2 linked regions of the Schizosaccharomyces pombe genome follow. The protein of the gene in region 2 interacts with the protein of the main gene of each other region in a pairwise test. Each region holds a gene or a part of one and is shown on either strand. Other genes may lie near its edges.

What was found.
Region 1: the proteins of SPOM_SPAC23A1.14C (region 2) and pex5 interact in a two-hybrid assay, tested with the Schizosaccharomyces pombe proteins (2 studies listed by BioGRID).

The regions. Positions count from the first base shown.
Region 1 is NC_003423.3:1,214,959-1,219,802, reverse strand, and holds pex5 (peroxisomal targeting signal receptor Pex5), read right to left. Parts: upstream 3,087-4,844; 5' UTR 2,785-3,086; coding exon 988-2,784; 3' UTR 559-987; downstream 1-558. Other genes in the region: pir2 (C2H2-type zinc finger domain-containing protein), read right to left, coding at 1-16, 71-178, 231-294; serine/threonine protein kinase Ppk31, read left to right, coding at 3,882-4,844.
Region 2 is NC_003424.3:4,100,763-4,105,257, forward strand, and holds SPOM_SPAC23A1.14C (cystathionine gamma-synthase-like protein), read right to left. Parts: upstream 2,447-4,495; 5' UTR 2,194-2,446; coding exon 997-2,193; 3' UTR 514-996; downstream 1-513. Other genes in the region: SNARE protein Sec20, read right to left, coding at 3,180-3,860; RNA polymerase II CTD phosphatase Rtr1, read right to left, coding at 4,354-4,495.

The DNA.
Region 1 (4,844 bases), on a different chromosome or scaffold from region 2:
GGGTAAGGTCCAGAAGCTAGACGTATTGTAGTTAATAGGTCAATTCATAGAATTTTATATTTATTCTTACCTCTTGTTCTATCATCATAGTAATTACCACGCTTTCGTAGAGGAGACCGTTCTCGATGATACGCAGACTGTTCACCAGGGGGGCTCTGTGAACGTCTTTGACTCCGTTCTATGCAAAAAAAGGATGAGTATTTCTATCAAACTAAACATTAACAACTTACCAGGAGAGCGTTCTCTTTTCCAACGACTGTACTCTACTTCACTTTCTTGATGGACCTCACTCATATTTTGACACTGTTCCCCTTCTATAAATACCAGCAATCGGGATTAATTTATTAAAAAACTAATGATTTCAATTGGGTCAAAATTGGTACTCAACCTGCTTAGTTGAAGAATGTTCTTACGAGAGAGAAATATCCATACAGCACTTTATGCTGGTACACTAAGTTTCATTATTCAAAATATAGAAAATTGTCAAATACTTTATTATACGCATCAGTATATCTAAATAAACTGAGATTATAAAAGCAAATGATTAAACAAAAAAGTGAGACTTCGAATTTTATGCGAATGCTATTGAACAATTAATACTAAACATTGTCTCATTATCGTCAATAAATACAATGTTGGATTACTTAAAAAACTGTGCTTACAAAGAGCTTAGAAGCACTCTCACAAAAGTAAACAATAACATCTGTTTTCAAATCACTGAAGATCTAATTTCCATTGTATAAACGGTCAAGAAAGGTACAACTTGCATACCAATAGTAACTTTGGTAGCATAGAGTAAGATTTCTTTTACTTTTGTTCTCTGCTTCAGATATTGAAGCGTAAGTTATCTCATTTCTTGTGCAACAAAAAAAAAGTAGCTTTTGCACGTCCTCTAAAAGATATGCCTCAGACAAAAAATTTAAAAAAAAAAACAACCAAATAAATAATAACATGAAAAATGAATTAAGCACGTTTGCTTTAAGAGATTTATTCGAGCTCAACACCGGGCCAACCTTGGAGATCACTTAACTGGGCTCGTATATAACTAGTGTTTGCTCCAGGATAGGACTGAGAGGCAAGATCAGTACTTTGGAATCCAATCAAAAATACTTTGCGAAGCATTTCCCAAAGTTCCTCATTTGATTCGCAGCTCTCCATTGAGGTAGAACTGTTTTGTATAATATCAATTGCAGCAAGTAGATGTTTTGCAGCATCTTCAAAGTATCCTAAATTGATGTTGGAAACAGCCATGTTTGAGCGAACTCGAACATACTGGGGCTGTAGAGATACTGCCCGATTATAGGAAGAAACAGCTTCAGTATTTTTTTCTGCATTTGTTAAAGCAGCACCAAGCTTATTCCACAATATTTCGTTACTTGGTTCGTCTTGAAGAGCTTGCCGAAAACAATCTGCAGAACGCTCATACTCCTTCAACATATACATAATTATTCCTAATCCAGCTTGTACCTTGGAGGAACGCTTCTTAGCAAGTGATAACTCATAAGCTACATCCAAGAAATACATCTGCATTTTCAAGAGATCGTTAGCAGAATCTTTCTCTTCAAACCTTTCGTTTATCTTTGCAAACCTGTTTCGGTATTGGGGAAAACTGTTGACTATCCAGTCTTCTAAGCAAACCAATGCCTGAACATTTAGAGACTGATTAACATAAGACACAGCAAGATCCATCATTAAGTCAAGATTGGTTGAATCCAATTTGACAGCTTCAAGTAGGGCTTCAACAACCCGCGATTCGTTTCCCAATAGAGTATGAATGCGACCTAACCATTTCCAGGCCTCGAAGTGCTGTGGATTCTCTTTCACAGATTGTTCCAATAACACAGCTGCTTTCGAGATAGATCCTCCATTTTTTATTAAATTCATGGCTTCAACAAATGGATCTATTCCGTTTAGCTCTTTCACAACCTCTGAAGATTCATCTTGGTTCTGTGAATATACATCTTCCGTTTGTAAAGAGTTTTCAACAACGTTATCAGTATCGCTATGCTGGAAAATTTGAGGATCTATGTTTTTATTATGAGCTAAATTATCATTAGCAAAGCTATTCACAGACGAAGTGTAAGGATCGTCAGAAATATTGTTTGACTTTAAAAAATCTTCCCATTGTTTCTGGTATTCCTCTAAACTTGCGGGCTCTAGCCCGGCGTTTTTCAATTGCTTTTGATGCTCTTCCCATAGCTCCTCAATTGATTTACTTCCAGTAGCATCCTTTTCCTTCTCTAATTTATTGGAGATTTGAGAAGCTTCCTCAAATTTCTTAGCCAACTCAGTTTCGTCAATAGCTAAAGAACTTTGTAAGGGTATTTCAGTATTTGAAGATAAATTTAGTCCAGCGGAACCAAAAAAAGATTGTTTTAAAGGTTGGTTTAAGTTTCGAAAACGGTCGTTTTCAGATGAATTGAGAAATACTTCAGAGAATTCTGATGTCCAAGCCGACTTACTATTCTGCTGCTGAAGAGAAGAAAAAGAATGTACCCAATTTTCTTTCGAGCCTCCACGAGTAGTTGTGCCGGTATGATTTCCAGTTTTTAAGCTAACTGGGTTCTTAACTACATTACCTAAAGGACTATTGTTTCCTTGGAGATTTTTGAAAGATGTGAATTGATCCTCAGACAGCGTTTGCAAAGGAGCGTAAGTACGACTTTGAGACTTGGTTAAATGTTTTCGATATTGAGCTGAAGGTGTTGAATTATTGACAACAGCTGTGGAAGTCAATTTCTTAAGAGGATTAGATAGCGTTGAACATCCTGCTTCAACAGACATTTTTGAAGAAAGTAGACTATAGCCAATATAAAGGCTCTCGACCAAAAGGAAATAGTTTTTTAAGTAGGTTGTAAGAAAATTAATATCAAAGAATGAAAAATTTCGCAACTTGATTGAATTTGCGATGTGTTTTAAAAACCAAAAATATGAAAACAAAAAAGCGGAAGAAGTAACGATGCAACTAACCAAAAAACAAAAATTGATCGCACCAATGATTGTTACAAAACTTGCGTATAAACTCAGGCATGTATTGCTGCTTATTACCAATTACAAAAATATTTAGATGAGTGCGCTCAGTTCATGTAGATGCTGAGCGTAGCACGTTAGATTAATCGCTTCTGTAATACACCACATTAACCCATATCAATTTATAATAAAGACTTTCTCTTTATTTTTTCAGACTAATCTATTGCCACTAAGGAATTTAGATTTCAACATTTTATTATACTTTTGTAAACCATGCTGCATATGTTAAAACCATAGCTTTATGATACAGAGAAAAAAATCCATATTATTTCTAAGTTCTTTTCAAATTAGTGTGATTAGAAAGTTAAACCAAGGGTTGGATTGAAGTATTAACTCTACATCTATTTATTCACCTGTTGTCTAAATTACAACGCCAAATGAATTAAATCACCAAATACTTCTGTCGCTCACAATAAAATGTATTAAAAAACTAATTAATTTTCGCTAGTCAATATTCGCTGTAACAATGGTTTTGGTTGTTTTCTGCTTAATACCAATTGATGCCACCTACAGTTCACATCCGACAAATATTTGTTAAAGAACCTGTCGCTAATTAAAGTGCTAAAAATCGCTCGTTCAAATTGTGATCTCATTATGAATTAGCATATTAGTTGGCGAATTTAATAAAGCCAAGTAATAAATTGATGATGTTATAATAACGAAAACATTGTATACAACAACAATTCCGCTTCATAAGTAAAAAAAGGTATTTAAATTATACGAGTCTTACAAACTATTAAAAGTCTTTGCCGAAAAACTATCGCGTAAGAACCATTTGCATTGATTTTACACAACTTTGAATACAATTTCTTTTATACCAAGAAGCTTAAAGTGTTCAATTATGATAAACAATGACTAATCCAGAGCAATTGAAGAGGATACTTTCCCACGAAGTTCTGCTGAAAATTGAAATGTCAAAAAATGGAATAGTGGAATATGCCAATCCTGCATTTTTTGAATTAATCGGCTACGAAGGAGATTTATTTCAATGTAGTTTCTATGAGTATCTTCAAAGCGATGATGAACACTTAATGAAGAAAGCAACCGATAATCTTTTCAGAAAAAGCATATCAGTTGCACATGTCTTTGCTTTTCTCAGATGTAATCCAATACGCAGTCCTAATTATTATATTCAACAAGCCAAAGCTCCATTTGAGGGAAAGACGTATATTAGAATGCTTTTTCGAGGCATTCTAGTAGACTCATTGTATGGTAAAGATACAAGGGTTTTGTGGGCAGGAAAATATTTATATCCACAACGGTCCGTGATCAACGAAATGGATTTCATCCTGTTTAACACGTTAGGGATTGGTGCCTTCATTCTTCATGATCATTTGCTCGGAATAATCAAATACAATTATATACACGTTCCTCCTCCTTCAGGAAAATTATGTTCGTTGTGTGAAGATAATTTACCAGAGTGGTACTTTGAGGTACATAGCGATTTTTGCCTTGTTTGGAATGATCTCGTACGCCGCGTTTTCGCCGTACAACAATTGATAAATTGTAAGAAGCTGGAAATAGAAGACATAGTTAACAAACTCCCTACGGGTAGTAATCATATGGTTGAAGAAACCTTTCTTTCCTTGCCGGTCATAACAGTATTCAACGGGAAGAAAAACAGAAAACAGAGGTTTCGCATTCGATCATGGAGAAGCTCTCTGAACTTTTTGGTTAAGGAACTGGACAAATCCATTAAAAATTTTGCTTATTTAGAACATCGAACGTTTTTGACAATTTCAAATTCTGCCGCGAAAGACATGAAGCGAGAGATTTATGAAAAATCATTGGTGAATTGGGAGTATGATTTTCTT
Region 2 (4,495 bases):
AAAAATGGTGCTTATAATACTTCAAGCAGCCTTCATGCCAAAAAGCTCCTTGACTCCGTATGAGCATTTCAGCAGGTGCCAAAGTAGCGACGGAGTCATCGGCAGATAAACCACATAAATGACAAGTGTCCTTATTATCTCCTAAATTGTCTGGTAAAAACTTGACTTCAATCTCCTGAGTTCCCGAAATTTGCTGACGGGACAGGAAGCGCAGACGAGGAAACAATCGCGCCCATGCATTTACGACCTGTTGAGATTTCCAGTAATTAGGATTGCCTTTCCTTAAACAACCCGCAATACACCTTTGAGCAACCTGTCCTGCAGCGAACACCCCTTTGGTGTAAACCTGAGTTTTGGGGTTGCTTAACGCCGTTTGTTTTTCAGAGAATGATAAATTCGACAACTCTTCAAAAAATTCGCTCGGAAAGGCCAACTCATGTTCAACAAGTAAATCAAGTACCTCTGTCGCAGACACCTTTCTCAATGCCTGAGAACCAGGTATAGGCAAATCATCTTCCAAATCTAGTAATGCTATTGAGTCCAGGTTGATACGATTTTATTATTAATTTCTTTAAATCGTTTTTTTTAGAAAAATTCTTTAACAGAAAAGAGAAAAAGTACCTTCACTTAGTTTTTATACGTGAGTTCTTTTTTGGTTATAGTTTGAATCATGAAGGGTTGAAAAGTCCATCCTGGACAATTGAGGGAATACTTAGTTATGAACAAGTAAAGGCTTTGATGGGTTTTGTTAATGCCAAGCATGTTCGAAGGTTAAAGAATGAAAATGATCGGGTTGATGACCTAGAACATGACATCTCACCGATTCTATCGTACCCTTCGCTTTACTGTTGCAATAGCGATCAAGGTGAATTTTTACGTGAAACACAACAATACAAAAAATTGCAAAGAAAGATAGCAAGAATTAAAAATGTTCTCAAAAGGAACGAATTACAATATTCATTAGTACATTAGAAAACAAGCAAATAACACAATGATTTAACTTAAAGATGCAAAGACACGATTCAAATCGGCAATCAAGTCAGCAGCGTCTTCAATACCAATGGACAAGCGAACAAGTCTAGGATCAATCTTGGAATCCGTCATTCTTCGCCATTCAATCAAACTTTCCACACTACCCAACGAAGTAGCGTGATGGAAATATTTCAACTCGCAGCACAAATGCTTAGCAACTGTGTCAGATTTAAGTAGAACAGAAAAGCAAGATGCATGACCGCCAGTCAAATTTTTAGCGACAAATTCCTTGGTCTGCAAGGAGTTATGGTAAACCTCCAAAATCAGGCTACTATCAATTCCTAGGCTAGTAGCAAATTGCTCATCGGTAGCCAACTTGTTCAAATGTTGGGCAACCAAAAATCCGTTTTCACTGTGTTTTGCGATGCGAAGAGGAAAGGTACGAAGAGAGCGCAAGAGTAAGAATGCTTGCTGAGGATGTAAAATTGTGCCAAGATAAGCACGATCTGCTTTCAAATCAAGGATCTTGGATCTATCTTTCGAGGCTGTGACTCCAGCCAAAACATCGCTGTGGCCGGCTAGATATTTAGTCGCCGAGTGAACTACATAATCAGCACCTAAAACAAGTGCATCCTGGATAGGGGGTGGTGCAAAAGTAGAATCCACAACAAGTATGGCACCCTTCTTTTTTGCCAGTTCCTTGTAAAAAGGAATGTCAAAGGCAATACCTAAAGGATTCAAAGGAGTTTCCAACCATATAACATCACCTTCACCGATGGCATCGCATTTGCCATCAATAAATGAGGTTTCTAAACCGGTTAGACGATTGATGCGTGCAATAATTTGGATTGTGCCTGAATAACCACCGAAACCGGGTTTATGAACGGCGATGTGTTTGGGATTTAAATACGACAACAGTCCGTAAATAGCAGCCAAACCAGATGAGTAAACAACAGAAGGTGCACCAAGAACACTGCTCAACGAAGCTTCAGCTCGATCAACATTGTTGCCGCTGATACGGGCATAGTATGGAAAGTCTTCCTCCGCTAGTTTGGTGAAAGGCTGAAGAGTGTCAGGAGTACCGGGATAAGTATAAGTAGTAGAAATATGGATGGGAGGAGCCACATCATTTTCTAATGCATAAGCATCATCGGCATGCAGTACATTAGTACTTAATGTGGACTTGATGTCAGAGAGATCGAACGAAGGAGTGTGAGTCATGCTAAACTAAAGAAAAAAAAACAGAGATGAAATGCAGAAAGGTCACAACAAATGAATTTCGAGAAAACTAGTGTTTACACGTTTACGGAATTAATAATGTTTATATCTAATTGAATGCTCCTACACTAGTAATCACCAATCGACCAAAGAAATAAGTACGAGATCAAACGACAGATACCTAGTTATGATAATTCTTTTAAAGACTTATATCTCCGTTAACTAACGTAAAGAGTTTGGTTAAAGACAAGTTGTTGTGAGACATCGCGGGGCATGTGCCTTAATTTATATCGTTATGCTTACGTGCTTGTAAACACTATATTACGCATTTGAAGTAGAAAGCACACAAACAAATAGAACCAGGACACTGAATAATTAGAACGTTTGGTTAATGAATTTTTACATAAGCAGTTATTAGTTTTAAGTTTATAGGTTTAATGGAGTTTGCTATCCGATCTCAGATTCTAGGCGTTCGTACCGGACCCTAGAAAATATGCGACAGACTTAACAAGATGCGTTTCCCAATTAACAAGCGCTCTAGTTTTTATTAGGAATTCAAAGAATACTGCTCTTTTTGTACTGTGGTCAAACAAATGGTTTTGACAATCAAAGAGGCATATACAATAAGAATGATTTGAAATGCAGCTGCATGCCGACTGTCGCATATTTCGTGAGCAAGAACTCATTTTGTTTACGGAATGGCGTTTCCCATTGAGTTACAAATACTATAGCATTACTATCATCAGCAAACTTCTACGCCATTCAACGTTTTTATTTAAAGAGAACAACACGTAAATAAAAACCAATCGTATAAGATAAACATTAAAACATAAGAACTACTTTACAAAGACTTTTTCAAAATAAAATTGAGAAAAAGGGCGAAAAAATAATTTCTCGTATAGATACTTCGAGCTCGATGGGAACGAGCCTCAAAAAGCCTTGCTTTTAATCTCGCCTTTCTTTTTAATAAACAATGCATTTTCAAAATCTCACCGAAGAAACCAAAGAAACATAGAAAGAATAGGCCAGACAATTCGCTTGAAGAGAAGATAGACAACCACAAATATGAAGAACCCAAATCCCGAGACGACTAAAAAGTAATCACTTCGATCACTTAATTTGAGCGATTTGATTATCCGTTTACTTGTATATAAAACGTCCTCTACACCAAAATATTTCTCTTGTAGAGTTTCTAACAAGTTGGTACTCGAAGACAACTCCATTGCATTTTCGGCACTCATATCCACTGCCTGTACCATTTGTGCGTGAATATCACGCATAGCCGCCGTGACCTGACTGGCGCTTGTAAGATAAATATCATCAGATTGCCACGAACCAGAGTTATCCATTGAACGCTTTTGAAGAGAACCATCACTTGGTGAGGTAATTTCCTCTTCATCTACAATCTTACCTATTTCTTGTGCGATAGGCAACCATGGTTCACCACTAGCAATCTTATTCCGATATCTTCTGTTCAACCGAATGTATTCTTGTACAGCCTTTTCATATCGTAGAACTGAGTCTAGCTGAATGGATGAGTATTCAAGCTCTACCCTTGCAGTTTCCCATATTTTTCTAAACTCTCGAAAATGCCTTTTAATAACTTCAACGCTTTCTGACTGTTGTAATTCAACAACTTTTTCTTCTAGTGCATTCAGAACGTCGGCCATCGAATGCTATGTTCTCTGCTTTATTGAACAAGTTAAAGGAGAAATAGTATTATGAGATGCAAGAGGAAAGAACGATAAAGGTAAATGATGATGAGTGGGAAACGAATGATGGATGCACTAACAATATAGCACAGCTGAAGGTGAATATAAGACTATACATCGAAAGGTTCGGTATATAGAATAAGGAAAAGAAATCAAATGCGGAATTATAAATAACGAGAAATAAAGATGCTAAGAGAGAGAAAGAGACAATAAAGATAGAAGGCAATAAGGTGAAATAAATTAGAAAGTGTAAATGGTAAAGGGAATATTGTATCGATCTTTAATAAAAAGTCGAAAACCACAGAAATGTTACTATGCACGCAACTGTAGAATGAAGCAACCTTTCATTCTAGTTCAAACGACGCTAGACACAAGTCGGTGTCTTTTTTGTTCAAAAATATTATACATATTCTGGGGTGAAAAGAAAAAATTTGATAAACTTCCATTTGCTTTATGATTGTTCATTAGCCAAAGGATGTTCAACGATTTCACCAACTTTTGCCTTATAACCCACAGGCAACGCTTGCAGGAGTAAGCGTACATCTTCAATTTTTTTGTTTTCCAACTCTTTACGAAATGCTTCATCTTGACGA